4 linked regions of the Coturnix japonica genome follow. The protein of the gene in region 4 interacts with the protein of the main gene of each other region in a pairwise test. Links are inferred from orthologs where the notes say so. Each region holds a gene or a part of one and is shown on either strand. Other genes may lie near its edges.

Region 1 (7,766 bases), on a different chromosome or scaffold from region 4:
ACACTTGCAATCAAGCCATAACCACGCTTTTAGCTTCACCAGACAGTAGCACAGGTAAATGTTATCAGACTACAGGGTACAGCATGAAATGAACTTATGTACAAGGATGTCAGAAAATGAAGCAACTCTTCGAATTCCACTACAGCCTGTGTCAATTTAGTTTAACTACTGCAATGGCAGGCAGTAGAATAAGTGAGAGACATTATGAGCTTCCAAATTCTGCCTTCACTTTGCTTCAGCCAAGCTCCCAATGACTCTGCTCAGACAAACACCAAGGAGTTTACTTTTCCCCAATAACAGCTGAGCAAGTTGCAAGAACCTCTGTTACTTGAAAACACGGGACATTAGGACACCAAGACCAAGCCAGATTTCACCCACAATTTCTACAAGAACTTCTTCACTCCAATCTCATTCTAGAAGTTGAAAGTGACTTTTTACACCAGGATACAAGCAAGCCCAATTTAACAACTGCCTTGAGTGAGCACTGCAGGGCAGACAGATGCATTTTCCTTAAGAAAAACAACACCTAATACCTTTAACATGAAAATATGGTTAGACCATCACGCATGACAAAAGACTGTACCAGGTACTAGTCTGGGCACGGGTTTAGATTTAAAAGGCTTAAATTTACTTAAAATAATGATCATTCGGTTCCCCACCAAAGACAAAAAGACTGAAGGTCTGTTTATTGTTTCCTTTCGCTGCCTGCTCGTCTCATAAAGACTTCAAACATTGTAATTTTTGGCATGACTATGTCAGAGAAAATCCCACAAGCAGACACAAAAATAAAAGGCGTTCTTATGTCGTTCCCTTTTATTAGCTCCGTGCCTCACCCACTCGGTTATTCTCACATGCAGCAGCAAGAACTAGGAAGACCATCTCAGCTGGCTCTTACATTATTATCATTTGTACTGGCAAATTGCAGTACATCTCAGCTGCAATAAATTAATTCAGTTTTCCTTTTCAAGACAGGTACCTTGAAAACTGAAGGAAAAAAGGGGCTGCCCAAGCAAGCACCAAAATGCACAGCAGAAAGAGCAGCACAATTCTACTCTTGCTTTAGCTTTATGCTGATGTCATTCTAGGGACACCAGTGTAACTACTGGACATTCGCACCATTACAAACACAGAATCTGTGTCTCGAGGTCAAATTCTGTTGTAGTCTAAACTGGTTTTACTCTGGGAATCTACGCAGCCATTCCTTTAAAATATTTACACAGCTATAAACAAGTCAGAACATTGTTGAGGAATGAATTGCAGCCAGTAAAAACACAGCCCAAGGCTTGTGCTGAAGTGGGTAGGAACTGAAACATTTCTGCAGCAGTTGGTGGTTGGATGCTCAAAAACACTCCACCCTGCTGCCCCAAGCAAGAGAAAACATGCAGACAGCGCAGAGTACTTCATGCGTCAGGATACATCATTTGGCTTTAAGCAAGATCAATAGATTTCAAAAACTAAGAAATGGGGACAATGCAAGTGCCTCGAGACTTTGTATGTTGACTAACATCTCAATTACTCATTGGCAATGCTTAGGGGAAAAAAAAGGCCCAGCTCTTGTGCCCAACAAGCTGTTAAATGGAAGTTCTGGCACTCTGAAAACATTCCTAGTGCCTTGGAAGAGAAGAATCTGTAAAGGTCAACCCCTCAGTTGGTATCTTTTATTGTTACCCTCCACTTTGGATGTGCTACAACAGATAATGCCATGGGGGACTGTAACGTGTTCTTGTCATGTCAGCACTGATGTTTAAGCCCTACTGCTTCTCCAGAAATGTAAGGTTAATGAAAGAGACCTTAAAAAGAGAACATCCTTCACTTGTGCTGGTGAGTCGTCTGCCATTCAACCGGTGTAAACTTGAAAAAGCCCAATCAAGAAAGCCTCATCACTAGAAAACCAAATAAAGGAAAACTAAGAAGCTTTCATAGAGGTCCTTCATGGAACCAAGTTTTTGTGAAGGGCAGCAGTATGCTCAGCAAATACATCTCACTTCTGTTTGCCATTGCTAAGATGTGGATAACACAATATCAAACACTACAGCATTTCTGCAATATAAGTTCTGGACAGTGACTCGACTCCAGCTCCCAGCTCAGTCACAGGCCTCCTGCCCAATCCTCAACCAGTCACATGCTTTTGCAGGACTGCTCACACATGTAAGCACAAAGTAAACTCCTACACACACCTGGTACACGCAGCTGAACACTTAACACTAACTCGAAGCAGAACCTCCTCCTAGACTGAATACCCATCAGTGAACACTAAGAATAACATTTCCTTTTCTCTCCTCCGTGCATTAAATTTAACACATGAACCTTACATGTGGAGCCATCCTTCTATACCCACAGTCTCCACCTCACTGGAATCCTCACCTGGGGTGGGGCACACGGGCGTTGCTCTAATAAGGCAGCAATGATAATGATAATGCACAGGATGACTTTTTCATGCGTTATGTTCTTGTAAAATCTTACTGGAATCTCAGCTGGCAAATGATCTAAAATCTTAAGCTTTCTGTTGTTCTTGTGCAACTCAACTGTTAGCGTGTCTGTACAACAGAGCATGAGTAATTTAAAGCTGGGACCATCCCTGAGACAGAAGGAAACATGTTGTGAAGTTGGGGACGTGTTTTCTCAAAGCTCCAGTGCATTTGAAATCCATCTGAACTGATCCATTCGCAGAAGAAGTTCCTTAAGCAATCTCACTGTTTTACTTGAAAAGTCCTCCCCTGCCCCCTTTCTTTCTTTTTTTTAATACATACTTTAAAATATAAACACATGACATGAATTCAGCCATAATAGACCATCAAAAGTGCCAGGTCACACTAGGGTTTAAAAATGCCTCACACCACAGTTGCCTCAAGCAACAGGGGAGATTGTATTGTATTTTTGCTGCACAGTTACAACTGATCATATGGTTTAAACACACAACCTAACGTCAAACTAACGCTAATACTTCACACGGCTAAACATTTGTCTCACACACAAACAACCTCATAGCATTCCAGTCTCCCGGCCCAACTTACAATAGGGTTGTGAATGCTTTGATATCTTTACTGTTGATGTTATGAGAGAAAAAGGTTTTACCGGCACTGTGAAATTCTATGAGAAATAAATAAGCATACCTAGGGTCAAACTGCTAATGTTACCTACAATGAGCTTACTCACCTCAATGCAATACTGCATCTTACTGTAATCTGGCATCAAATTCCTGTCATTCTGCTACAGAAATTAGGGACATGATCTACAAAGTCTGTGCAGGTGTGTCTGCTCCACGTGCAGCCAATGCAGCAGGAAGGACTGATACAGCATGTGGTAGTAATCATCATTACAGCCATTTTTTTTATCATTTTCTCAGTCCTAGCACAGCTATACTAAATAAAAACAAACAAATCTTATGTAGATCAGTAGTGGGATTAAAGTCTGTGGGGAAACATACAGCTTTTCCCTTTTTATGAGGAGACAGCATCTGATGCAGAAGGTGCTTTGCTGGAGGTAGAAAAGGTGTTTTGTTGGAGGCAGAGCTGTGTCTCCCTTGGCAGTGCTGAAGTACCAGGCCCCACTTCATCCTACAACCTGCACCATGGAGCACACCATGTTGATTTCGGGTCCTCTCCCTGAGGTAGGAGTACGCACAGCAAGATGGCGGCCAGCTCAAGCAAGGCCTCAGCCAGAAGGCAGCTTGCCAATGCTGGCATAGAAGGTGCAACAAGCTAATCTGCAGCAGAAGCGTGTATGGGATCCACATAAATATCCTGCACTGGGTATTCCACAAATCCGGCTCTACAACAAGAGCACCCAGCATCAGCCCGGCTGATCACAACACCACCTTAAAAGCCTCACTAACCCGCCCCGCCCACTGGCCCGGAAGCGGGAAATTGAAGCGCAGGCGGCGGGTCGTTGGGGCGGCTGAGGGGTTGTGAGTGTTGTTTTGCTTGTTGTGGGGCGCATCGATGGGTGGTTCCGGCGGGTTGCTCTTCTATTCGGGCCGCTGCACCCCCGCCTTAATCCTGTTTCTCTATGGGGGGTGGAAGGTCTCTCGGGGAAAGCAGCTGGGGGCTGTTAGTGGGAGGGCAGGCACGCAGCGCCAGGGGCCGGTCTGGCGTACTACACAGTACTAAACACAGTACTGAGGAGCCCGATTACTCGCAGGGTTTATAAAGGGGCTTCTGTTTTGAGGTTAAGAAAATACAGTTTCTTTGGACTAAGGGTTTTTTGATGAGTTTGATGTTGTGGGATCTGACCTTTGATTTACAGGCATGTTAGTCCAAGTGGTTCATAAGTTCTCTTGCTCCCCTGTTACAATTTGTAACCATTAGAAAATAAAGCCTAGTATTTCTTACTAGAGCTTTTTACTCATTCCTGCAGCCATGCGGCTCAATATAATCAGGTTAGAACAGCAACACACAATTTGTTGTTTTTCAACAGGAACTACTATCTGCCTTGAGATGGAGGAAGCAGCGTGTGATAAACTGACATCTTTATGCCATACACCAAAGGCTTCTGGGACAGCAGCTCCACAGAGGACTAGTTCAGGAAAACAGGTATAAAAACTTACAAGTCCTTGTTTTCTTCGTTCCCATATATGTAAAGTGACCTCCTGTGACTTGTATTTGAAAACGGTACACTCTGCTTTGGTGTTTCTCCTCCCATGCATTATAGCGATGCACTCAAACTTGCCATAGCGTGTATCATTAAAAACTGGAGCTATGCTGGATAAGGCTTGGTTGCAAATGTCCCTTAACTGTCCTGTGCTTTAGGATTCTTCCATGGATTTTCCTTTCCACCTGAAAGGAAGATTGCAAAAGGCAGTGACAATTCAGAAGTCTGTTTTACAGTTGTCATTACTTAGGACATGTTCTGCATGGATGAAAAGTTCTTTGAAATTTGATCAAAGACAAGCGGTTGATTTTTCTTTGTTCTTCATTTTCTTTAGCCAATGAGTGCAACTCTAAAGGAACGATTAAGGAAAACAAGACGTTCGTTTAATGCTAATTTATCAGCGGCAAAGCAGCTCAAGGTAGACACTGAAGAAAAAGACTGTGCAGATGTTGACAGTCAGTGTCCGCCAAAGATAAACATGGATTGTTCCACATCACAAGATAGTTCTGGATGCCTGGAAAGAAACTGCACTGGAAATACTTATTTCAGAAATCCATTACAGGAAAACAATCTCTGTGAATCAGCAGAGAATGTGGTAGGGGTTGATCTTAGTCAGCAGCAGTCCATAGAAGAAAAAGTAAGGCTGATGAAACAAGTGCAAGAGAAGGAAGAACTACTTCGAAGGCTCAAACTGGTCAAGATGTACCGATCTAAGGTAAGGACAACCTCTAGAAAGCACTTCAACATCACTCTTTGAAGTGAAATTGAGTGGTGTTTGTATATTAGCTCAGTTTAAAGCATTTAATTTAAATAGTTCTGCGGGGTACTAAAATCATTTTTCATTTGCAGAAATGTTGCTGTTCTTTCTTCCTATTGTTTTTGTTTTTTTTTTTTAAATCCCAATTCCAGAACAACCTGTCTGACCTGCAGGCTCTGATAGTGAAGTGGAGAAGCAGTACCCAGCTGATGCTGTATGAGCTGCAGTCGGCCTTTTCTGCAGATGGCAAGAAAGTGAGTCTCAGTCAGCTGATAGATACTTTTGGATTGGAAGATCACTTATTGCACTACAGCAGAACAGAAGAAGATTTCGTAGACACATAATCTACTGGTGCAAAGCTTTCAGTTACACGCGTGCATAAACAAAAAAGACTGAATGAACTGATAAACTAACAAGTGTTGATCAGACAATGAACTTTGTTTTGGTAAGGGGTTTTCTCATGGTAAAACTTGGTATTTAGATATGGTAGGCACTGTAAAAACCATTACTTTATAGTAAAAACTGAACTTATGCAGATGGTTCTGGAAAACTGGCTAGAGAGGCAGGTCAGTGAATTACTTAAAGTGAAATGAAATCAAGTAATACTTTAACAGGTAGAAGGCAGACAGTTGTTTGATTAGTCTTTGTGGTTTTAAGGCAGAGTGTAAGTTCAAATCAGTTTTCATTTCTGTTGATGGTCATATGGGGAGAGGGTTCAGTTCTTTGTTTGTCTTCCACATTTGTTCCTGCTGCCTGTCAGTTAATGACAGCATTTTGCAAGTCAGGTAAAGATAACTTAATTTTCATGTTAATATTCTGGAACTGCAATTAGATGTTCTTAATGGCTTTAATAATTGCTAAAGGAAATATGCCATAATGGCACTGATCCTTGTCCAGACAGTCATTTCTAGGGGAACTCCCACAGCTTTTGGTAATGGAAAGGAGAGCAAGAAAATTGCAACTGCTGTCTGTCTACTGTACTAACTCATTTAAGAGCTGAGACATTCTCTCTGAGGTTCTTCAATTACAGCATCATTTACCTTTCTGCAGTAACACTAAATAAAACTTCAGCATTTCATTTATTCTCCAATAAACGTTGTCTTTTCAAAATGTTTTATTATTTCAACCCAAAATTGCTTACTTTCTCACTTCTGTGCATATATTGTGGTGACTTGCCTGCTTTTATTTTCCTTGTCTTACCCACTGTAACAGTGTATAGGACTGTACTACCCTGCTTCCTGCTGTAAATATATATTTTTTTAATGCAACCCCACTCCTTATTTGCTGTAGCTTAACTGTTTTGTTTATATGTGCCAATTACTCATTAATAAGGATGTAATTTTGTACTTACCCCAAGGGAAGTGAAAAGCAAGTCACAGATGAAGTAGTTTACTTTAATGTTTTTAGGGATCATTAAATTAAAGTTTGCAGCCACAGTTTACTTTTAGGAATACTGAGTAGCACTGCCACTGCCAACAACCTTTATTACTGATCACATTTTGGGTATTAATAACTATTTCTTCTGCCTCTTTCATTCAATCCATTCAAAACTCCATTTTATGGGAGTTTATAAAAGGTAGAGGAAAATCTGACATGAAGCATGGAATGGGGAGGTGGTAATTTGCAGATGCAAATTTACTGCTTTCTTTCAGTACTTCACAATATCCTACAACCACATACTAAGGAAATAGAACAGGTGTATTTCTATCATTCTACAAGTTAATCTTTCACTTATTTCCTGAAATAAGCTATATGGCTTGTATAATCAAAAGAGCAGAAATGCAAAAGAAAAAACAGTGTAGGTAAGCTGAGGTACAAAACGTATGAAACAGATGTATCTTTCAATGTGATGTTATTTTAGAAGAAATAGAAGAACAGCAGTAGATGTTAACAGAAGAAAATGTTTTTCTGAAAGACAAGTCCAGAGAGAAAAGGTGCATGTCCAAATTCATCTACCAGGATTGGGAATTTTAAAGAATAGGGAATGTTTTTGATCTTAATCTTTCAGCTTTTGCTTGAAGAATTTCAACGTGTTCTTCCTGTTTTCCTATGAGACTTCGTAGATGTTTCTGCTTCAGAATCTCCTGGTAACGCCGCTTTGCAATCCTTTCATTAATATGCTGCATGTCTGCATAAAAAAATATATGAGTCAGACTGGACATAGGAGGGGATACATAGTCTATAAATATATTGGACTCACTTTGGTTTCGTTCCAGTTTCTTATAAAATAAGCACATATTTTTCCAAAAGGCTCACAGTTGGGTTTGAGGGTCTTCATAATATTGCTTAAAGCAAAAAATGTTTAAAAGGTACTGGGTGCAGTTCCTTTATTTTTTCACAAATACCCAATGCTGTGAAACTAACGATATGACCATTGGAAAGAACTATACAGCTTTCCTAACAAGGGATATCTGTCTTA
Region 2 (7,808 bases), about 8.7 Mb from region 4:
ATTTCATTTAAGAGAATTCAAATCTGAGACACCAACAGCGCTCCTCTGTTATATTTTTAATACTTTCAGCATAGTTACATTTTGTTAAGGTGATATGCATCTCAAGAGAGCAAAAATAATTCTGGAATTTAAATAAGTATATAAGAAATTGACAGTTCGCAGAAGCAGAAGTTTCCTGTTGTAGGACTCAAGCTGTCATAATTACAGAAATTGCAATTTCTATGCCAATGGATGTTCCACTCTCTTCTTCACCTCATTGGAAGATGCTGTCAGAAGTACAATGACTTGGTTTGGCTTAACAGGACAAAGTAAAATTAACAGGCATGCGGAAAGCAACTAAGAAACTGATCAACCCATGGGCTATAATAAAATTACTGAGAAACAGGTAATTCTCACCATTATGTTTATTTAAAAAAAGCTATTGCAGGGTCTGAAAGCAGGTACTTCTAGTACCTAGAAGGATGGAATACTTTCAGAAAAGGAAAAAATATATATATTCTTCCCTGCCTTTCCCTTAGAAATATGGGAAGCTTATTTCTATGTATGAGACTCAATACCCATAGCAACCTGAAGGCTGCAAAGTGATGGAAATGGGAAGTTCGCTCTTCCTCTCCACACAACAAAGCATAATAGTCTAGAAAGACTAAGAAATCCAGATCCTGCTTGAAGAATCTGGCAAACACAGCACACTCACCTTCTGGAGGCTGGACAGGGCACAGGGCCGTGGCTTTTCACCCAGCTCTGCATGCTGCATTGCTCTCTGGCCTTGCCCCCACCCTGAGTCTGGTCCTGCTAGATATCCAGTGGCTGAAAATGTCTATCTAGGAATTCTTTCTGACTCTTTCAAAACAGTGAGTTCAGACACAAGCATTCAATTACTCTTGAAAGTTCTATATGCAATGCATTAAGTAAAAAAATGATTTCGTTTTTAAAAGTTCCAATTGTTTGGAAGCAAGTTAGAGATGAGCCCCAGACAGACTTGTTCAGAACAAGCTTAAAGAAAGTGAAAAGGCCAATGCAGCGCTGGAACTTACAGTGGTGTACCAGTAATAAAACAAGCAAGTCACACCAGTGCTCAAAAGGGTGTTCGTCATTTATATCATCATAACCAGAAACTTTCTTTATCACATTCCTGATCAAAAATAATGCTGGAATATGAAAATCTAGTAAATACAGCGCACTGTCCAATTAAGTAACTCTTGCTTTTCATGGAGATCAATGCAGACCTAAATATGTTTTTATACAGTAACAAGTAAATGAAGCAATCAGATTTTATAGAACTACTTTGTTGCAGTTTAGACTGAGAACTTGGTATCAGAATGCAGCACTAGTACACAAAGGCCTGCAGAAACAGTATACAATTTAACTTCTGATTAACATTGTATCAAATCCCACAAAAATCTCCTCCTAAATAACAGCCTGTATTAGCCCCCTCTTCGGGAAGTACAACAGAGAAGTAACTATGTTTTCTACGGTACTGAGAAGAGCTACCTGGAAAGCAAAGTTATTTGATATTGGCAGTAACAGAAGCTGATCAAACTGTCTTACTTGTGCACTTACACTTAAAACTTTCCAAAAATACATACTAATATTCTTATATAAAGTGAAATAATCACAGAGAAGGAGCTGAACTGTCGTACTATGCAGGTGAAAATCGTTCTTTACATGTTTCTTCTTGCAATATCCAAGCAGTAGCTTTTCATCTTTCATTGCTGCAGTTCTATTTTACTACATATTTCCAATATTTCCCAGTGACTTGTCACAAAATTTTAAGCTGATGTGCTCTGATATGCTGCTATAATACAGACTTCAGAGAACCTTAACAATTCATTTAACATTCTCTGTTGCTGAAGTAACTGAGCTCTGCAAGTATCAAGAACAATTTGTATAATGAACCACCAACATTCAAGGAATGCTTTTCACTTCATAAGTAGAATCCAAATGAGTTGCAAACACCACAGCTCTCTGACTCTGACCTGTCAGTCCCAACATGTAAGAGATTACTGTTCCATTATTCTCCAGCTGCTATGTAACTGTCAATGGAGGCAGAGATAGAACACATTCATCTTATAGCACTGAACTTCAAATTCTTTAAAAAACTGACCAACGCCTCTGCTTTTTGCAACAATTTATGTACCTGACAATAAAATAACCTCTCAGCACCAATTGAGCTTGTCTACTGACAAATACATGCCAGTGTCATTCCTGCAAGCACTGATTGCTGTGCTGCCTATCATTCAGTAGATCAAACTCAGATCTCAGTCATACACTGAGTCCCTGTCAGGAGACCTCAAGAATATCCATGATAAACCCTTCTGTCAGCAACGGAACATTAAAAGATTACAGTAGAACTAGTCGATCTTCTGGAAGATTTTCTGACTTTCTGGAAGATGATTCTCACACGCATTCCCAACGTGCACATCTCCACCAAATCCAAGCTTGCATAAAATATGTAATTTAGACTGAATTGGGTATATTGATTTTTGGAATTACTATTATTGGAAACAAAATCCCCAGTGATGTTAGTTGTATCCATTTCCCTTCCTTGCAGAAGGAAGACAAACAAAATAGCTTTGGGTATTTATCCCAATGAAGAGTTTATGCAGTTCTGGCACGGAGAACGTAGGGTGAGTTCTCCATCAGATTTGTTACAAGGACACTCACGTCACTCAATCCAGCATCTCCTCAAGTTGGACTCCTCTGCAACGTCACCTTGCAGTCTCTCTGCCAACCCCAATAGCCTAAGCCTACCATCATCACCTAGCTATGGTCCTCCGCTCCCCACTTGTTTCACATCTTTATTTTTCCAGTCAGTGATCCCATACTGCACCTCACAGTCAGCACCACAACACAATTTCTGCCTTCTGTTCTCACCTCCCTCTTACATCCCTGTGTTGCCGCGATGCTTGGACAAATTGCCAACAACTGCGGTGTGCTGCACAGCGGCCAGAACCCGGTGGGCTGACCAACCCAGCCTCACTCCCTGCTTTCCCTCACCAGCTGGCTGCCCTCGGCTCAGGCTGCCTTTATATGCCAGCTATGGGAAGACCCCCCTCTTTCCATTCTCTGCATGAAATATCACAGAATCTTGCTCTGCAATTTTTACTGAAACAATAAAAGTGGAGCTGTTCAATACAGATTTTATAATCCTTGGTTTACAAGAAGAGAACAGTAAAAGGTCGTGGGGAGAGCAAAACAACAAGCTAAATGCACCTCTTCCTATCCGGTTCTGCCATTCACAGCTCCTCTTCCAGAAAAAGCCCCATTTCCTTCTTTTTAAAACAGCACAAACATTAATGTCAGTTTATGACTACAACAAAATACTTCAGCGCGTTTCTCTTAAAGAACATAAGTCACGCTAATTCAGCGTATGAAACCTTATTAATCGCATCGCTGTTCGGTAAATGACCCCAGATCCGCAGACATTTCCCACTAGAGGTCGGCTGGTCGCTCAGCATCCCACACAGCGCACCCCCAATGCTTCCCCCTCGTGTCGCCCACCCGGGCACGGCCCGCTCCCCCTGCCATCACACAAGCGCTCTCGGGGACGGAAGGCACAAGCTCCGGGAGCCCTCTCACTGCACTCAGCACCGACACCACGGCGGAACGACCCGCGGCCGTTACTGATGCTGCCGTCCTGTTTTTGTTCCGCCTCACCGAGGAGCACGATGCGGCCCGGGCCCGGCGCAACGCGGAGCGGGGGAGGAAGCGCCGCTGCCGCCGCTCAGCACCGCGCCACGCGGACGGCGACCGCCAGGGCCGACCGCTATGCTCGGCCGTCGGGCCCCGCCCCGCCGCACCTGGATGTAGTTGGTCTCGCAGTACTCGGCCACCCGCTCCAGGTTCGTGTAGCTGTCGAACAGGGCCCGGCGCCCCCCGGGGATCTCCTCCTCCAGCAGCATCTGCAGCTCCGCCATCTTCACATCCTCTCACCCCACGACCGTCCGCTCGTCTGCCCGTCCTCCCTCCTGCACCTCCCTCCCGTCCTCCCTCCGCTCCGCTCCCTCTCTCCGCTCCCCGCCGCCAGGCCCGGCCTCGCGCCGCGGGCAGGAGCGCGCCGGACCCCCACCGCACCGGGGGCGGGGCGCGGCCGGCGGCTCCTCCTGCGCATGTCCCAGCAGCCCTAATCATGGCCCCGTGCGCCCACTGCCGGCACGGAGGAGCTGGGACGGGGCTGCGGGACATGAATGGAGCCGGAGCTGGAGCAGGAGCCGGAGCGACCCCCTGACCCTGCAGTGGCCCCTTCCAGTGACTTGGAGCATATGAGAAAAGGCCTCGTCTTTACTATGTGTGTGCGCAGCTGACCAGCTGGACTAACCTGCCTGCATCATTAGCTGCTTGTTATCACAGCATGTTTATGTTTTAATAGGGGACTCTTTCATGGATTTAAATTTAAAGATGAAGAGCCCTCCTGGCAGAGTGATGGTTATCCTATAATTCTCTGTACGCGTGCTGAAAATGATTAGAAGCAGTGTTTAAATTAGACCAAGTGAATCCAACTACCACTTTCCTACATTTACATAATCGACTCCCCATCTGCCAAGCGATGTGCTAAACTAATTTTAAGTCCTTATGCTCTCTGAGCCCCAGTTACAGCATTCCACACATTAACTTCTCCTTCTTTCTTTTGTGCAGTACCTTCCCTTGGTACAACAGCTTCAAGACTGGGAAGCAAATGTATTTCCCACCTAAATATACTGAGAAAACAATATCCCTAGGAACAAGCAAGGTAAGCATGTCGCTTACTCCAAGTTCCCTCACACGCATCAGATTTTTACCTCTGCCCATTACCCAAGGGAGTCCCTGCGCACAAAAACGCCCAGACAAGCAAATCATTTGGTCACGTGCAATCTCGTAGCTGGGCACTCTGTGTGTCCTACATACCACAGTCTGAATTACCAATTCTTAATTAGAGAAAAGTAATAACGGGGTAGCTTGGAGGCCACTGTTTTTGGCACCATGGGTAGGCATTGCAATCAAAAGCCTCTTCTGTTTTCTTTGCTATATGGAAGACAGAACGGCACAATCCCTGATCCCATTTGGACAGATGACCTGGTTGGATCTCTGACACACCATGCTGCAGGTTTTCACTTAATTTGTGTAAGGATCTCTGTTCTGGCTTTATGACATTCTCATTTCTGAACATTTTTTCCCTCACAAAAAAAACAAAAAACAAAAAACAACCCAAATTCCATGTTTTGTATACAGCAGAAACAAAACCCCCACTGTATCACATTGAGCCAAGCAGATCTGCGTCTGCACAATGGGCAAAGCACTTTGACAGCAAACATGGGCATGTGAACTGACCATAATACAAACAGGCCCATGCCCTAAAGCTGGCAGGTAGCATTTACTGCAGGAATGGGGAAAGAGGAAAAAATGGGGGAATGAAAAAAAATTATCTGTAGCTGAAATATATACTTTTGCTCCCTCAACAAAGACAGAGTTGTGCCATCCTGGTCTGTTTAGATAGCGTTGATCTGCCTCTGGCTGGATGCAGACCTTTGCTAGCCTCATAATGCAAAGCACCCAAAGGGAACAGCAGCACATTTAACACTCGAGGCTCTGCCACAATCTCAGGATGGCCTGCTACAGAATGAGGCTCATACACATCCAGTGCCCACAACAAACGCTGTCAGGATCCTGTGGCATCTTGGGCACTCAGCCGCCAGCCCCTGCTGTGAAACAGTGAAGAACCCACACACTCTGCAGCTGCACATTCTCCTCCTGCTTCCGCAGGCATTCACCAATTTGCTGGGCAATCAAGATCGTAACCACAGATAATCTTTCTGCTCATGATAAACTGCTGCTGGGTAAAATACCGACTGTACACAGGACACAAGTTACCTGTGGGGTAGTTCACATCTCATGGAAGTGCTTGCACTAACACCACTAGTTCAGAAACAGGCAGAGGCAGTGCATGACTGACATCCATCACCTCACAGCACCTCCGGAGAGGCACAGGACACACTGCAGACATTCCGTCTTTCTGTTCTCGGCCGTGTCTCATTCTAAATATCAAGCCTTTTTTTTCTAGGAATTCAAGTTCTCTCTTGAACGTTATTTCAGCATAGCATTGTGTGAGAAGGATGGAGCCAGTACATGCGGAGAATCTCTCTAAGGGAGGGAGAGGTCAAGTTAAAGAGGAAAAATAATGATCTCTTCCTAACATTTCAGCTTTAAAAGAACACAGGCAACAAATGGTCTCAAAGACAAACCAGCACAAAGCACAGCTGATCATCAGGTTCCCTTCCGAGGTTCAAAGAACAAAGCATTCAGAGAAGGAGGGGGAAGTTAAAAAATGTGCCAATTTGTTTTTCTTTTCTGCCAGTTTTCCTTCTCAAAGATACCAACCCAATTTTCAGTCCCTTTCCATCCTGACCCCCAGTGGCATCTCCCAGGTCCATGTGACATAACTACTGAGAAGACAGACCCTAAAGGGCTGATTACAGAGTTAATGCTCCACTGCAGCGCATGGGAAAATCACCCTTTCTCAGCTATTGTTTCAGGCCTGCTACAGACACATCACTGGCCTACTTATGCTCTCCTCATATTTGCAAGTTTCCTTTGCAGCTACAATGGTTAGAAACATTCTCCGAGGTTTCAGTTTCTTCCTGGTTTTAATTAAAGTTCAGATTCTTAGGTACTCACATAACTCTGGGAACTTGGTCCCTGGAGCTTTTTTGATCCTGTCCTGTTTGTAATCATGTTTTAATCACATAAACCACTTTAAAAAGTTTGTAGGGTTTTTTATATTCATAGGAGCCAACAAATAACTGTGTGTTGTTTCTGAAATTAGCATAACTGCTTTGCATGGGAAGGATAATAAATCACATCTGTGAAACCATCCGTCCTGTTTCCATCGCACTTCTGGTGAAGCACTCTCACTAGCTGCAAAGGCAGCTCCTCTTTACACAGCTTCTGTTTGCCATCAGTCTGCAGCTCCACCCTTCTCCTTTCTGCCCTCGCCCCCAGATAGCACCTGGGAGCATTCCAGCCCTTGATGAACCCACAGCTGCCTTTAACTGTATGGTAACAACACACATCTCAGGGATGCAGTATTAATAGGAGATGGAGAACAATGGCTCCCCATCAGCTTCCCCCACCTCAGCCTAGAATTGGTTTGACAGAGCATTTACAGGTAGAAGGCAGGCAGGCAGGCATTCCCATGTTGTCTTCTCTGAGGGGAAGCGTAAATAATTCATTTATCTCAAAATCTATGACATCTCTGAATCATGAGTGAGCTTTCAGCAGTAAAGAGCTACAGTCTAAGCTGTCCCCCTCCTGTTACAAACTAGTCAGAGTCACAAGGTCAGCACCCTGATTTGTTCTGCTGAACAGAAGTAAGAACAACAGTTCCCAGGCAATGAAGAACATGGATGTGATACAATGGATGGGGCCAAGCAAGAGGCTTGTATCTCTCTCTTTCTTTCTCTCTAAGGGACAGGTTGTGGATGATGCTTATTGCAAGTGACATTTCTGAATGCATGTACAACAAAGGACTGAATATTACAGTTATCTATGAACATAGTTGAGAAGAATAGTCCAGTAAGGGCTTTAACATATGATTATGTCTGGAAAACCTGAAAGGCAGGCAACACAGGTGATCACCACTGACCAACCCTGTACCAGAAAACACTTGGTCATCACTCTCAAGGTTCCCCAAAATGGATCCAGAGCCACATGGTTTGTTATGTGCCTTGCAAGAAGAATTTGTTCTCATCTCTGCTTTTTGCTTCTAACACCTATTCTATCTGACTCCTTCCTTCATGAAGACTCAATAAATATATCAGGGGTGTGACTTCTTA
Region 3 (7,053 bases), on a different chromosome or scaffold from region 4:
CTCACATCCTGTTCCACGATTTCTCAACATCAGAGCATCTGGGTCCTCAGACACTGCGTGAGCGCCTCATCCTGTTATCCATCTATGCACCGTACCTGCTGATACCACTTCTGATTCTTTTTACCATGCTGTACAGCCCCCAGTACAACCAGGTGGAGAAAAGGAAAAGGAAATAGTCTGCTGTAAAAGATGTGAGCACAACTTTCCCATTGGTTTCGATCCAGACCCCAGTTCTCTGGGACGAACACTAAGCAGCGATGTCAGCTGCGACACCTATTACCAAAGTGTCAGATTCCTGCAAGGAAAGTTTGAATTGGCTTTTGTTCACAGCTCTTCCATCAGAAATAGGTTTGGCAGAAGCCTGTATTGGTGGTTCCAGGTGGCAGCTGGGTATTTGTAGCTTTAGGGGGCCCAGCAGCTCCCTTCCCATCATCAGTTTTGTGTGGTACTTGGAAAATGAACTTCCAACCATTTCATGCATAACCAGGTGATGGAGGCTGGAAGCTGCAGCCCACGCTTTTCCTTACACTTTCCTTTCTCCAAGATGCCTTCAGGTTGCAGTGTGTTCCAGTAGCACATTCTGCACAATCCTTCACTGATTACATACAAAAATCAAAACTCCTTTTCTCAGCTACTTTAGAAGCATTTCAGATGATGTAACAATCCTCACCTTCCTCTTCCTTCCGTCTAAAATTTCACCTTATTTTCCTCTGCTCCAGTTCTGATCACTTGCTAATGCCTGGTCAGTGATAAATGTGTCCACATCTGTACTTCTGTATGCTTATTGTCTGGCAGCTCCTCCTGGATTTCTTCAAGTACTTCAGTAGCTGCAAACAGGGATTTGTAAACTTTTCCATGAAATAACTTCTAACGTGGAAATAAATAACTGCATCCAAATGGCATTTCATTTCTGAAAGGAAGAACTAAAACCAACATAATCTGTGAGAGCTTAGATAAAGAAAAACACTTTGTGTTATACTTGGAAATCATCGAAAATAAAACCAACTGCTGGTAGCCTTTTTTCCTGTTTGATCTGTAAGAATACAATGTGAAGACTTGTGTGAAATTCTGGGCCACTGAGCAGTGAAGACTTGTGTAAAATTCTAGCAGGCTTCTTCAGTCACTGCTTTATTATTTCAGGACGTTACTGGTGTGTAACTTAAACCTCCCACAAGCTTTGAAAAGGGCAGCGTTTTCTTATGTGGTTGCCTAAAGACAGGTGTAAAATGCATCTATTGCTGTTTGAACAAGAGCCTTGATTTTAGGTCACAGACATTCAGTTTTTAAATGCCATGCTCATATCTATGGTCTGTATGCGTTCCTGGTGCCACTACACGCTGAGGGTTGTTTGTCTCATCAGTCTGAAGTCCTACGGTTAAATTGCAGTATTCCACTGCAATGTTACTTCAAACACAGTTTAATCTTAATTCTCTGTTCCTCTTTGTGTGCAACTGCCCCGTTCTGTTAATCACCAATTTTTCTGACCAGTTTAGGAATTCCCAGGCAGGAGTTACCAACCACTGCTTCTCTCTTTTGCACGTTATGCTGCTAGGAGTGTTAAAATGGCTATATGAGGGAAGTCCTTCATGATGACGATCCAGGGAGTCACAAACTTACGAGCTCCCCAGTAACAAAGCAGAAGAAGCTAATTCTGGTATGTCCAAGTAGGTGACAAACAAAAGTTTATTGCCTGATTTCATTGAAAGAGCTGTACATTTCAAAAAGGGAGAGAGACATTAACAGAGGAACAGCAGTATTAATTCAACTACAGATTGAATCTGAACTACTGACTGTATAAAACCTTTATAAAAATCAAAGGACAGAACAGTCTTACAGCTGTTAGAAAGCCCTCCTTATTGCCACTTGTAGTGTAACTCACACTGCATTAAAAAACACTTTTATTTGCACAAACCATCCTTATTTATTTGCACACAGTGAAAAATTGCATATTTCTGAAATAGTCAAAGAGTCTGGAATGCTCGTGTTTCCAAGCTGGTCTTTATCTTAAAGTCTTCTATTTCTGAAAAATAAATTGGTCAATGAATTCATTCTGATCCGCTTCAATTTTACACAGACTCTCATATTCTATTCGATATCTGAAAGACAAAGAAAATAGGTTACCAGCTGATATTTTAGTGCAGTGCTCACCAGTCTGAGAGCGAAGCTCAGGGCTTCGTGTGTGTCCTTTTTAAGGCAACAGTCACATGAATTAGACTTGACAGTTCTAAAAAGCCTTTAGAAGTCACCTGCCTGCCACTCTTACTGTTTTATTAATTTCCACAGTTGTATGATCTCACATCACCTCTATCCGGATAGCCACAAAGCCATTAGAAATGATCCTTCTCAGTACGTGGCTGTTTCTCTCACATCTACACAGCTTTCTTTCCCAACTATTACGTCCATGCCCCAAAAACACTTAATAGGAAGCTCACCTTTCCAGCTGCATCTTTTTCTCAGCTATTAAAGCCCGCAGCTGCTGTTCCTGTGCTTCCCTTTGCTTTGCTATAGACTTCAGCAGATTCCGTGCACCGATGGCCTGTCAAAACAGACGTTTGTGATGGATCTGTACAAGGAGTTTTAACCCCTTTCACTACCAGCAGGTCGCGATGAAAGTCTTTCAGCCGTGCTAAGAGCAAAGGGGGCATCGTCCTGCTGGATGGGCTGTGGAGCAAACACAGTCCCTGTAGGGGCTGGGCGGGTTGAGGCATCTGAGGCTTCCTTCCAACCTGGGATATTCCTAACAGTGTGAAATAAACTGACCCCCTGGTGGCTGCTACCAACAGGAGGCTCAGGAGTTTCTCCCACAGAACAAACAAGGGAAAAGTAATCACAGCTGTGCTGAAAATTCATCTCCAACCCCATAATAAAGTGAGAAGATAAAGAGCGCTTGGTGACGTGTATTAGTGCACGTTTCTGAGGTAGTTACAGAGGTTTTTACTGCGTGAATCGTTGGACAGCCCTGTCCTCAGAGCCCACCATGAGCTGCGTCCTGCCAGGAGGTGTGACTACAAGGACAGCCCCAACGGACCGTACCTTCATCTTCTCGCTCTCGACAGCTCTGGCCAACTGGTCCATGAGCTCGATCAGGCCGCCCACCGTGCTCTGGAATTGCGCTATTTCTGAAAGAAAAACGGTCCCGCGTTCGTGGCTGTCAGCGCTGCGCGGAGTGAAGCGGCGCCCCCCGCCCCGCCCCGCACTCACTGTCCACGAAGGCCTTGCACTCCTCGCGGAGCTGCGCCGTTTGCTGCGCCACGTCGGGGTCGAGGACGCGCAGCTTGTTGAGCTCGTCGAAGTGCAGCCCCGCCGCGCCCAGCGCCTCCTGCGCCATCCCGGCACCGCTCGGATACACGGAGCCACAGGAAGCGCTGCAGGGTGCGGCGCAGCGCGCAGGAAGTGACGGGCTGCAGCGGGGGGGACGGCGGCCACGGGCGGTGAGCGGACTGTAGGGCCGGGCGGTGAGCGGACTGTAGGGCCGGGCGGTTCGGTGACGTGGGGCCGCGCGGGCGGGGCTGCGGACGCGGAACTTCGGTGTGGCCGCCGCGTTCGGGCCGGGGACGTTGCGGAGGCCACGGACGCGCCGCCCGACGGCCCCGCGACACCCGGTCGGCGCTGCCCGGACAGGCCGGAGCGGCCCGCGCAGCCGGTACGGGGCAGGGGAAGAGCGGGGCGGGGCGGAGCGCGTGTCCGGGCCCCGCCGGTTCAGCTCGGGGCGCAGTTGTCGCTTTGTCCTGTTGCTTTCTCTGCTTTGTGCGTCTTTTTTCCTTTGTCTCTTCTCGTTTTCTCCCCTCGCGCCGTTAGTCCCGCTCCTTTTCGTGGCCGTGCTGAACAGGGGCCGCTTCCTGACGGCGGTGCCGTTGTTGTGCTGCGCTCCGGCCGGAAGGGAAACGGGGCAACATTTATGCGTGTGTTAATGTGGGTAATTAAAGGTTCAGTCTGTGTTTATCGCAGGAGCCTCCTACGTGATCGATGATCAGGGACCTCAGTGACGTTTTGTCTCCCCGGACACGCTGTGCAGCGGGTTCTCATTTTGCTTTTTGGTTGTTTTTTTGCTTCGTCCTTCTTGGTCAGAAACGTAGCGACGTGCCGGAGGTGCGGCAACTACAGAAACCTTCACTAGTGCACGTGTTCAGAGATGCCGCTGCTGAGACTGGAAAGCTTCGTGCACACCCAGAGCTCGTTACGGACTCTGGCTGTCCTTAAAAACACGCTTTTATTTTGGAGGAAGGGCTCCTGTGGTCTGAAGCAGGATGGGACACCGAGGGCAAACCTGCAGCCCTGAGCCATGGTGCTGTTTTCTCTGGAGGTTGTAGGTGTAGGACAGTGCGCTGCTGCTGCTGCTTCTGGTTTACTTCGGTGTATGACAATATAACCTAGAGTTGACAAAAAGTAACTTTGTTGCTGGCAACATGGATTTCTCTGGAGCTGCTTTATTTGTGCAATTAACTTCTTACAGAACACAACTGTAATAAGCAGCTGCTAGTTGCTGTTGCTGGGTTACTGGTGGGGAATTGCTCCTCTGAGCAATATTGTGCTGGCTTTTAACTGAGACAAATACTCCAAAGACCAGACATTTTTTAGGCGTACCCATCCTGAAACAATAATAATAGAAACTACATGACATCGACTGTTGGTTTTTCTAGGAGTGAAGGGGGGAAAAGAAGTAGAATAAAAGGAGTTTCGAGGAAATAGAATGTAATGTTCCAGCACTGCAGTATCAAGTCGTTTGAAGAAGTTGGAGCTGCTATAAGAATATCACGTTAAAATATTTTTTATGTAATCGCCAGATGAAAGAATTGGACAAAGCTCTTCCATTTGTTTCCCTCCTGCAGGCAGAAAAGTTATTTCGGGAAGTTGAACGGGATCTGAATCCCATCTAGCACTTAACCTTGGGCTGCAGTGTTGTGTGTTGATTGTAATGCTGGCTGAAGACTGAATAACAGGAAGCCCAGAGGAGTTCAGCTTGCCTCACTAACAGTAATGAAGTCGTAATATGACTGTGATGTTAAACAGCTTCTGTATTGCTGTGTAAGTTGTTTGAAAATACACCTGCATTTTGTTTTGTCAGCACATTTGTAGGTGTGTCCTTAAGAATGTACTGAATTTGTCTCTTCGTTGTGGGCTTCATGGCTTTGTTTCTTTGTGTAAATTCTAGGCTTCTGTGTTGATCTTAAACATTTCCATTCCAAGAGTCTGGTGGCTATGACCATTTTTGCCTTCCCATCTTCGCCCAGTGACTCGTGACTCGTTGCCAATCACGGCGGAATCCATCAAACCCACACTCTGCAGGGTCGTCATCTACCTACAGAAGGAGATGTCGGGGGACACGTGTCTAACCACCACCCTGTGTCCAGCTGTGGGCCCCAAGCCTAAAACCTGCAGCTTCAAAGTCGGCAGCCTCGGTAACAAGTACGTGCGACTAAATGTCGGGGGCTCCTTGTATTACACTACAGTGCAAGTCCTGACCAGGCATGACACGATGTTGAAGGCCATGTTCAGTGGCAGAATGGAAGTTCTCACAGATAAGGAAGGTAAGTAAATGTCTTTTGTTGTTGAGAATCTTGTAAAACAACTATTGGAGTATTTTTTTGTTTGTTTTTAATGCATATTAAAGCTATGCTCAATGAAGGGTGTGGAGAAAGCTGTATTCCAAAAGGAGCCAGGAACATCAGGCTGCCAGATCCCATTGGCTCTACCTGTGCTTTATATAAATTGTCCTTTTGTTATTAAAATTAACAAGCAGAAGGGCTGGTTCTCTTTCCTGCAGTCACAGGTGGTAGGCAGATCGTTGATGTTTTTATGAAGACTGGACAGTATGTGGGCTGTCATATCTACAGTGCATTAATCAAAATGTCTTTAGGGAGGGGAGAGTCAGTTTTCAGCTTTAAAACTCAACACAGCCTTGATTGCTGTGTTGAAGATTTTCAGATAGGCTGAATCTTGTTGAGTGTCACGTAAGGCTGAATCTGTTTGGCCCAGCAGTTCTGTGTAAGAGCCCCAATCTACCAGAATGGAGGATGAGATTTGTCTTCAGGCAGCTTTAGCTGGAGAATCTGGCAGTGGTTTAACCCTCTTTCCTATGTTACCTTATATGTCTAGATCCTAAAATATAAAGAACTTTGGGTTTTTTTTTTTGGTTTTTTTTTTTTTTTGGTCTGCCTTCCACTTCATGAACAATGATTGGGCACTTTATTAAGCCCTCTGTCTGTGTGTGTCCTTTGCTATTGTTTGCCAGCAAGTCAGACATCCTGTTTCCCAGTGAATGTGACTGCAGGGAAGTTTCAGCATCACAAAAACTGTCTACTGCTGTTTCCTGTGCTGGATCCCCCCGTTCCTCGTCTTCCTGATCCATCCTTGTCCTGTTCCTTCCTCCTGTTTGGATACTGGAGCAGCATTTTTCCCTCACTGGATTTGTCAATTAAATAGATGTGCACTGGTGACTTCCTGTAGTAATTAGAAAGGTTTATGCCTTTAATTGGAACAAAATACAAAAAGGATGAAGCACAGAAAATAACTTTGGTACAATGGCTGATCAATAGATACGGTGCAGTCAAGTTCTTGCTGCAGTTTTTTAAATGTCAAGTGATAGGAAGCTCATGGCTTCTCTTCTGAGGTGCTGGAAAGTAGTGAGAATACAGACAAGGTGCCAAGGGAGAGGTTCCGCTGTTAGTTTCTGTTCTGTAACAAATACCAATTTGTTGAAAGTCAGTGAAGTCTTCCCCTGAATGGAATCAGAAGAATGTCTTGTAGTTTCAGGCAGCAGCTGACTCACTGGGGAGGTTTGTTGGGTTTTTTTGCCTCCTAGCGTTAAGCTCACTGAAATGTTATGGTGATTATTTTTCAGGATGGATCCTTATAGACCGTTGTGGGAAGCACTTTGGAACCATTTTAAACTATCTCCGAGATGACACAATTGCACTTCCAAAACACAGACAGGAGATCAAAGAGTTGATGGCAGAAGCCAAGTATTATCTCATTCAGGGCTTAGTTGACATGTGCCAAGCAGCTCTGCAGGTAAGAAATGGAAGTAGCCAAAGTAACATAGCAAAAATTCAA
Region 4 (7,141 bases):
ATGGGAGTTCATCTGGCCCTCTTACCCTGCATGTGGGCTTGCTGAGGGTTGTGAGCAATTGCTTGTGCATCATTTGTGGTATACATTCATATATATGTGTGTGTGTGTATATATATATATATATATATATATATACACACACACAGTAACTATTATCCTTTTCCTTTTCTCAGTCTTAATAGTTTTATCTCAACCCATGAGTTGTACTTTAGGGGAATGAGACTGTGTGGTGCTGGGCTACCTGCCAGGTTATATTACAACAGTCCATCTGGTGACCAATGTGAGGCTCCAAGGGTTGAGATAACAGCACATCTGTCCAGAGCAAGATAACACAGGGCTTTGTGGGAGCTGGAGAAGTGCAGGCCATGATGCTGATTGTTTCCCTATTTGTGGAGCTTGTTGAGTCTTCTCATGAAGCTGCATTGCTTCTTTCCCTGGAGATTGACAGCTAGTTCCAATAGCTCTTGAAAATTTTGACTATCCATGGGATGCTCAAACAAACATGCTGCTAATGCCATGTCTTGAATGTATTTCAAGTTATGTTTAAGACTGAACAATTGAAATAATTGTATATCACTCATAGATCTGCTCCGAGGTGGGATAGTTGAGTGGCACCAATGGCAATACCATACCAATCAGGACACCTTGTATCATAGAGTAGTTGCAGTGAGATATCAAAGGCTGCTTCCCAGTCCACCTGAGGCCTTTAGGGCCTTATAGCTGTGTTAATCCAAGGAAATATAGACATGTAGCCAATACATTTGTGTAACTTTACACAACTGGGAGAAATTCCACTCTGATGCCTTTAGCACTCAAGTGTGGATTGCTGGAAACAGTCACTTGTGTTTGTCCCTGCTCTCCTGGCATTGGCAGTAGATCTCAGCAAGAAGCTGCTGGTAGTTCTTGGTTCTTGGTTGTATTTTTCATGTCTCATTTGGTCAGACTATTTTTAAGGAATTCATCTCTGAAAAACCAATTTGTTTACTATTTCCAGATGTATTTGCTAGTGACCTTGTAGTGAAGGAACCAGGGATAGCTAAATCTTCTACTAGAAATTAAACAGTGCTTTTTAATAAATAAAGCACTTCTGCAATTTAGTGAGGGTTTTTCTTAGACTTATGCTATATGCTAAAGATTAAGAAAGAAAAAGGACTGTAGCAAAATGCAATTTGGTTGTGTTTGCATGCTCTTAGTAGACCTTATTCAGGTCGTTGTTAGTAAAGAGAATACCAAAAAGCAATCTGTGCAAGTGCTTTGTAATTCAGGTTAAGTGCTTTCCGAAGGGGAGAGAAACCTAAGGACATAAAATGGTCATAAACTATTACTACTTTTTTCTTTTTTTTTTTAACTTGAAGCAGATCCTGTGGGGAACTTCTTGTCACAGGTAGTTATTGCAACAACCACTTTAAAACGTACCATTTCCATTTTCTTAATGCCTGCACATGACATTTTTTTTTTCCTCCCATTACTTGTATTTGTGGGTTCAGCTCATGTTAAAAGCGATTCACAAAACCTTTCCTACAGCAGCAGATAACTGGGGCAGTGGTGAATGGTGAGGGTGAAATTCTCCTTTCTATCTTGTAAGCAACATGTGTGGTAGACATCAAGATGCAGTGAGAGCAAGAAATCAGCTGAGTCCTTGGATATATAAAGCTTGTAGAGTTGCACTTAGTTTGTCATATGATTAATTTCATTAACACATTAAAGTATAATGTTGATAAGGCTTGAAATACTGTTGTAAAGAATTAGATTTGCATTTTCTACGTGGCAGGTAAGCCACTATTACATTTTTTTCTATTGAATAGAAGATGAAGCAGAGAACCTTGATCCTGAAAAACCTGCTGTATCTGAAAACGATGAAGCACCCAATGATCTTCCACCTCAGGCTATCCAAAGGTTGGTTCCTGTTCTTTATTCTGTCTGAGTGAAGCACCAGTGGTGTCTGGAGGTCACATGGTTGTAGTGGAAATGCTGAAGCAGTGATTGAGCACCTGGTGGGAAGGCAGGGCCAGCCTAAGGGAGCTCAGGAGCATGCAGTGTGTCTGAGTGATTGGAAGGGCTGGAGCCAGGATCCACCCCTTCCCAGACCTCATTTAAGGGTTGGCAGTGGAGATGAGGGTGTTTTTTGCTGGAGTTCCCTGTGTGTTTGAGGCCATTCAAAGGCAAGCAGCTCTTTTCCTTCATTTTTGTTTCTGTGGTTGCTGTGCTTGGGCTTGTTCTCATTTGCTGTAGCCAAAGACTTTGCCACCCTGCTATTATCCTAGTACTTTCCATCCCATTATAACATTACAACCGTCAATTGGAAAATAGCAAGGGAATGTGAAGCAGTTTGTGCTTGTGGCGTGCAATAATGAATATTATCCCATGTACGGTTCATTTTATTTGTTTTCATTTCCTTCTACGAAGGAAACTTCATGTCTTGGATGTGCATTCTTAATCCAAAAAGTGCCTTGATGTAATCTTATTATATTAAGAGTGATCTGTGAAGAGTCTGAGTCTGTTGCATCACTTCAGAAGTATGGTGTTAGGGATAAGATGAACTTGACTTTCAAATCCCAGTTTACTTTTTCTTTGCCCAGAAATAAGCTACTGTAATTGTATTACTTATGGAAATATACTTTTTCCTTTTGCTGTTATTGCTAGTTAACTGTGCAGTATCCAGATTATTTTTAGTGAGACAAACTAAGAGGTGGTTTTACCCAAAATGATACTATTCTTGTTGAAGGTCACACTTGTTAGGTTTTCTCAGACTCCTACTAGGTCAGAAGGTATTGCCATATAGGATTCTACTCTGGGGATGTTTCCATTGGTTTTATGCTTCCTTTTACAGTGTAGGTGAAAAGTCTTTTTTCTTGCAGACGTATTCCTCGTCCTGGCAGTGCAAGGCCAGCACCACCCCGAGTAGTGAAACGCCAAGAAAGCACGGAGGCTTTGCTTTCAGAAAGGTGAGAAGTGTGGGTGATGCAGAAAAGATGCTGTTGGCTTTTACGCCACAGTATTCTAAGATGTTGTGTTCACCCTGTGCCAGTGAATAGCATCAGGATGAGTCACCCTACTGATTCAGGCAGGAAAACTCAAGCCTTTCTGCAAATCCAGTGTATTATTTAGAAGTTACAGTTAGTGGCCACATAAGGAAGTTCAATGATAGATACAATTTGATTAATTTTTTTGTCACTGGGAACTTTCAAACAGGTAAGCCTGGAATATTAATCTTAACTATCAATATAAGAGATCTGTAAGGCATGTAGTGTATCTCATGCTCAAAAAAAGGCTGAAACAGCCCCTTGAATTTATGGCCAAAATGTCTTGCAGGTGATGTCAAATAAGTGTCAAGCACTAAAGCAGTGTATTCAGGAGTAATGGCAGTGAAGGAATTTGGTGTGCTGCTTTATTTTATGGAAGGAGGTGAGGGGATAGATCTGAATGGGATTGGGCCTAAAAACTTAATAGGTTTTCATGTTCGTTTCATCTCTTATCAGGAACGGTAGTGCTAAGGCAGTCTCAAATGTGATCATAGACCAGCAGGCTTCTGATGATGATGATGACCAGTTTGTGGTGGAGGCAGCCTTGCCCGTGCCTGAAATGCCAGAGCTGGAAATGGTTTGTTAATGTTATAAATTATAGAACCTTTTCTCAGCCTTTGTAGCTTGCTTGTTTAAGTAGCTTCTAGCTGGACATGTTGTTGAATAATTTTATATTGTAGTAATACCAAGTTTTTCCAACTAAAGCTCTCTCCCTGCATGTTTAGGAGCCAGAAGTGGATCTGGTGGAGGATGAGAAGCATGGTATGTTTGCTTTTGTATGTATTTGTATGCATATACATAAGAGTAAAGCCACAAGTTTAAACCAAGTACTAAGCTCTTGCAATGGGGAATACAGCAGCAAAATACCTTTTGATGGAGCAGAACCTTGCAACTTTGCAAGAACACGGCAAATGTTTCTCAAATGAAGTCTTGTATAGCCGAGCAGAGGGATTTACAGCTGATGTCAAACATGTATCTTCTGTATGTCTCTTTGAGATAAGTGAAGGGGTTGGCTGGTCAAGGCAAGTTAGAGAAAAGCTTCTAGGAAAATTGATTGTCTGGTTCATGGCAATGGTTATGCTTACTTGTGACCTCTGATATCTGATTCAGGGCCTTCAGTCCATTGTGGCCACACTGGATGTGATTTAGGGAGGCTTATTTCTCTGTACCAATAAATTATTAGCAGATTGCTATCTGTGTATACACATGTGCATGTGTATGCAGATAAGACAGTGGAAAAATAAATTTAAAGTATCTTGTATCTCAGTAATTGAAATACAATGGAATACTGTTCATGTTGGGTTTGATGTTATTGTCTTGAATGTTTAGAATCATGTTCTGAGAAATATCCTCATTTTCTCCAGGTGGACTTGTGAAAAGAATCCTGGAAACAAAAAAGGATTATGAAGCATCACAAAAATCATCTAAGACGACAGAAAAAGTAAGATGGAAATAGCCTGCAAGAAATTGTGGTTATTATATATTGTAACGTGGTTTCATACAGCATTTAGTAGTCCTTTTTAGCCTGCTTGATCTCAGCCTTGCCATAGATGCAATAAGGCACACACTGCATTTATGCAGCTACGTAATTAATTATTGTTTCAATCTTAATTGTCCTCTGGTAATATCAACCGATCATCAGTCATTATAATTACCTATAAAACATAGGGATCTGGTGCAGTTAACCATGTACAGTAAGTATTACCATATCACCAGGTGCTACCTTAGTAAAATCTAGCAGACCTGGGCTTTCTAGACTGAAACAAGGACGTGATTTTATTTCTCCAGCCAGAAACTGGGATAGGGAAATAAGAGGGAGGGAGGTCTAGAGCTGTTCTAGGAGCGATCACAAACCAAAACCAAGATGTTGAAGCACCCTGATATTCATGTATTCCTTCCATAACGTGGCAGCTCTTGCTCTTTTAGCCTTACACAGCTCGTGTTGCAAGGAGGCACAAAAGGTGGAGCATTTTGGATTGACTTTTTTTGAACCTTTGGCAAGGTTTTGAATAAGAAACGTAGCATTTTGGAGAGGCAAGTGCTCTTAAATCTTCAGTTCTACTTGCACCTCTCTTCTTACCTTTATTCAGTGTTAGTGATAGATGTAGTGTTGTATGCTGCTCTTCTATTAGGTGCTGCAATTCAGACCTGAAGAACACTAAGCTTTTAACAAAACTCTTTCAAACACCTCTCTGAAATCAGGAGAAACTTTTGAAGCCTTAGCCACTTCTTGGCCTTCTGTTACTTAAATGAATATAGTTCTTGGCAGTGAGTAACAACATTGTGATAGGTTATGAGTAAAGTGTACAGCTGGAAGAAACAAGTCCCCAAGGGACTAAAACTCATGATAGACAGTAGACTGTTTTAAATATAAAAGAAAGATTTTATCTAGCGTTTGTATGCTTTCATAATCACTTCTGGCAATCTGCAGCAAAAATGACACAACTTGTTAGGATTGTGATTTTTGGGAGGGTAAAATCAACAAATCTCTTAAATAGAGGCACTCCCAAATGCTGTAGCGGCAGTGAATTGTGCTGTCATGTAGACCAGCCTTTTCGTTCCTTCCCCAGCACATGGAGAAAGTGAAGGAGGTAGAATCAGACCCATGGGGAAGCATCTTCCTATCTCAGGCTTGGGGTTGTATGAGATCCAGACCTGCTTGACCAACCAAAATTCCTCGTGTGTTGCATGGGCTGAGATTAAAGAAGAAAAATAATTCTTAAAATGGGAAAGATTTCATTTTCTGCTCATAACCCATTTTGAGTAGTTACAGTTTTGTTCAACTTGCTGAATTATGAACTATTTATTATAAACATGCACCTCATACTGCTTGCACACTGATCATTTAAATGCTCTTGGCTATTTTTGATGAGTGTCTGAAGTGAATGAGTTCTGTCTTTATAGAGCAGTTTGGGGAAAGGGAGGGTTTAGAGATAATATTGCAGTAGCTCTAAAGTTTGTGTGTGTTGAGCTGGTATTTGTGAGAACACGAGATGAAGCTGTTCCTAGTTTTATAGCTAGGTGGTGCTGTTCAATCATCAATCTCCAGACTAAGTTTTAGGATGGCAGTAGCGGTTGAATTCAGTCTTTTTCTTTTTTTCCTGCCAGTACATAATGGGAATGCAGGCAATATTGTGCTGTATCGTGTCCTGTCAACTGAGCACTGGGCATAGAAATGAACAGTAGGGAACATTTACAAAACATCATGGGTTCCATGTTCTGGAAGCTTCCTCTGGGACTTGTACTCAATTTTCCCTTTCTTTTTTCTTTTTTCTTTTTTCTCCCCTGAATACATGTAGCTCACTAAATAAAACAATTCCCTTTTAACCCCTTAGATTTTGTTTTAAATGCATGTCAGCCCCTGTGTCCCTGTGCAATCATCGTTTAGTCCCACTGCCTATTTTCAGTCTCTAAAACACACTCATTCTGTCTCTGTTTGCCTTTTGTTGCTTCTTTTGAAGCACTGATCTGTGTTAGCAGCGCTGATAATAGACAACTAATTCTGGAAAAACAAAAACCTGCTGATTTCCATCACGTGAGAAACTGCAGGCAGCAGTAAGCTCCTGGAATATCATCTGTTCTCATATCCAAGCAGCTGGCTGCTGCTGCTGCATTTAGTCTCCTTGCTGCTACTGCTTTTCAAATTAAATCATAGAATGGCCTGGATTGAAAAGGGCCATAATGGTCACTGAGTTTCAACCCCTCTGCTACATGCAGGGTTGCCACCCAGCAGACCAGGCTGCCCAGAGCCACATCCAGCCTGGCCTTGAATGCCTGCAGGGATGGGGCATCCACAGCCTCCTTGGGCAACCTGTTCCAGTACGTCACCACCCTCTGGGTGAAAAACTTCCTCCTAATATCCAATCTAAACCTCCCCTGTCTTGGTTTCAAACCATTCCTGCTTGTCCTATCACTGTCCACCCTCCTTAGTTGAAGACGTTGTTGCGGTCCAGAGAGGAGAAGTGCAGTTTTCCTGACAGCAGAGGAAAAGTTGATGGAAAAGATGATTAAATGTTGGTGACTGGGACTTGAAAGACGTAGCCCAGAAAATATGAGCTGGAGGGACTGCTGAATTCTGAGAGTTTATTTTAGAGGACAGAGAGAAAGTAACAGTGAAA

The links. The genes of interacting proteins can lie anywhere in the genome.
Region 1: the proteins of TRAF3IP1 (region 4) and SFR1 interact in a two-hybrid assay, tested with the Homo sapiens proteins (2 studies listed by BioGRID and IntAct). The link is inferred for Coturnix japonica from reciprocal best matches to the Homo sapiens genes TRAF3IP1 and SFR1.
Region 2: the proteins of TRAF3IP1 (region 4) and ABI2 interact in a two-hybrid assay, tested with the Homo sapiens proteins (2 studies listed by BioGRID and IntAct). The link is inferred for Coturnix japonica from reciprocal best matches to the Homo sapiens genes TRAF3IP1 and ABI2.
Region 3: the proteins of TRAF3IP1 (region 4) and IFT20 interact in a two-hybrid assay, tested with the Homo sapiens proteins (2 studies listed by IntAct). The link is inferred for Coturnix japonica from reciprocal best matches to the Homo sapiens genes TRAF3IP1 and IFT20.

The regions. Positions count from the first base shown.
Region 1 is NC_029521.1:21,226,046-21,233,811, forward strand, and holds SFR1 (swi5-dependent recombination DNA repair protein 1 homolog), read left to right. Parts: upstream 1-3,817; 5' UTR 3,818-3,907; intron 3,908-4,002; exon of another isoform or gene 4,003-4,022; intron 4,023-4,416; 5' UTR 4,417-4,436; coding exon 4,437-4,532; intron 4,533-4,924; coding exon 4,925-5,305; intron 5,306-5,499; coding exon 5,500-5,691; 3' UTR 5,692-6,457; downstream 6,458-7,766. Other genes in the region: CFAP43 (cilia- and flagella-associated protein 43), read right to left, coding at 7,318-7,475. UniProt on the Homo sapiens protein: Component of the SWI5-SFR1 complex, a complex required for double-strand break repair via homologous recombination. Acts as a transcriptional modulator for ESR1.
Region 2 is NC_029522.1:11,988,861-11,996,668, forward strand, and holds the start of ABI2 (abl interactor 2), read right to left. Parts: upstream 3,950-7,808; 5' UTR 3,918-3,949; coding exon 3,801-3,917; intron 1-3,800. UniProt on the Homo sapiens protein: Regulator of actin cytoskeleton dynamics underlying cell motility and adhesion. Functions as a component of the WAVE complex, which activates actin nucleating machinery Arp2/3 to drive lamellipodia formation.
Region 3 is NC_029534.1:8,042,106-8,049,158, forward strand, and holds IFT20 (intraflagellar transport protein 20 homolog), read right to left. Parts: upstream 3,360-7,053; 5' UTR 3,329-3,359; coding exon 3,202-3,328; intron 3,120-3,201; coding exon 3,034-3,119; intron 2,537-3,033; coding exon 2,433-2,536; intron 2,097-2,432; coding exon 2,015-2,096; coding exon of another isoform or gene 2,005-2,014; 3' UTR 1,650-2,004; downstream 1-1,649. Other genes in the region: TMEM97 (sigma intracellular receptor 2), read left to right, coding at 1-176; TNFAIP1 (BTB/POZ domain-containing adapter for CUL3-mediated RhoA degradation protein 2), read left to right, coding at 5,312-5,528, 6,842-7,011. UniProt on the Homo sapiens protein: Part of intraflagellar transport (IFT) particles involved in ciliary process assembly. May play a role in the trafficking of ciliary membrane proteins from the Golgi complex to the cilium.
Region 4 is NC_029522.1:3,276,439-3,283,579, reverse strand, and holds part of TRAF3IP1 (TRAF3-interacting protein 1), read left to right. Parts: intron 1-1,805; coding exon 1,806-1,896; intron 1,897-2,858; coding exon 2,859-2,945; intron 2,946-3,479; coding exon 3,480-3,600; intron 3,601-3,748; coding exon 3,749-3,785; intron 3,786-4,387; coding exon 4,388-4,464; intron 4,465-7,141.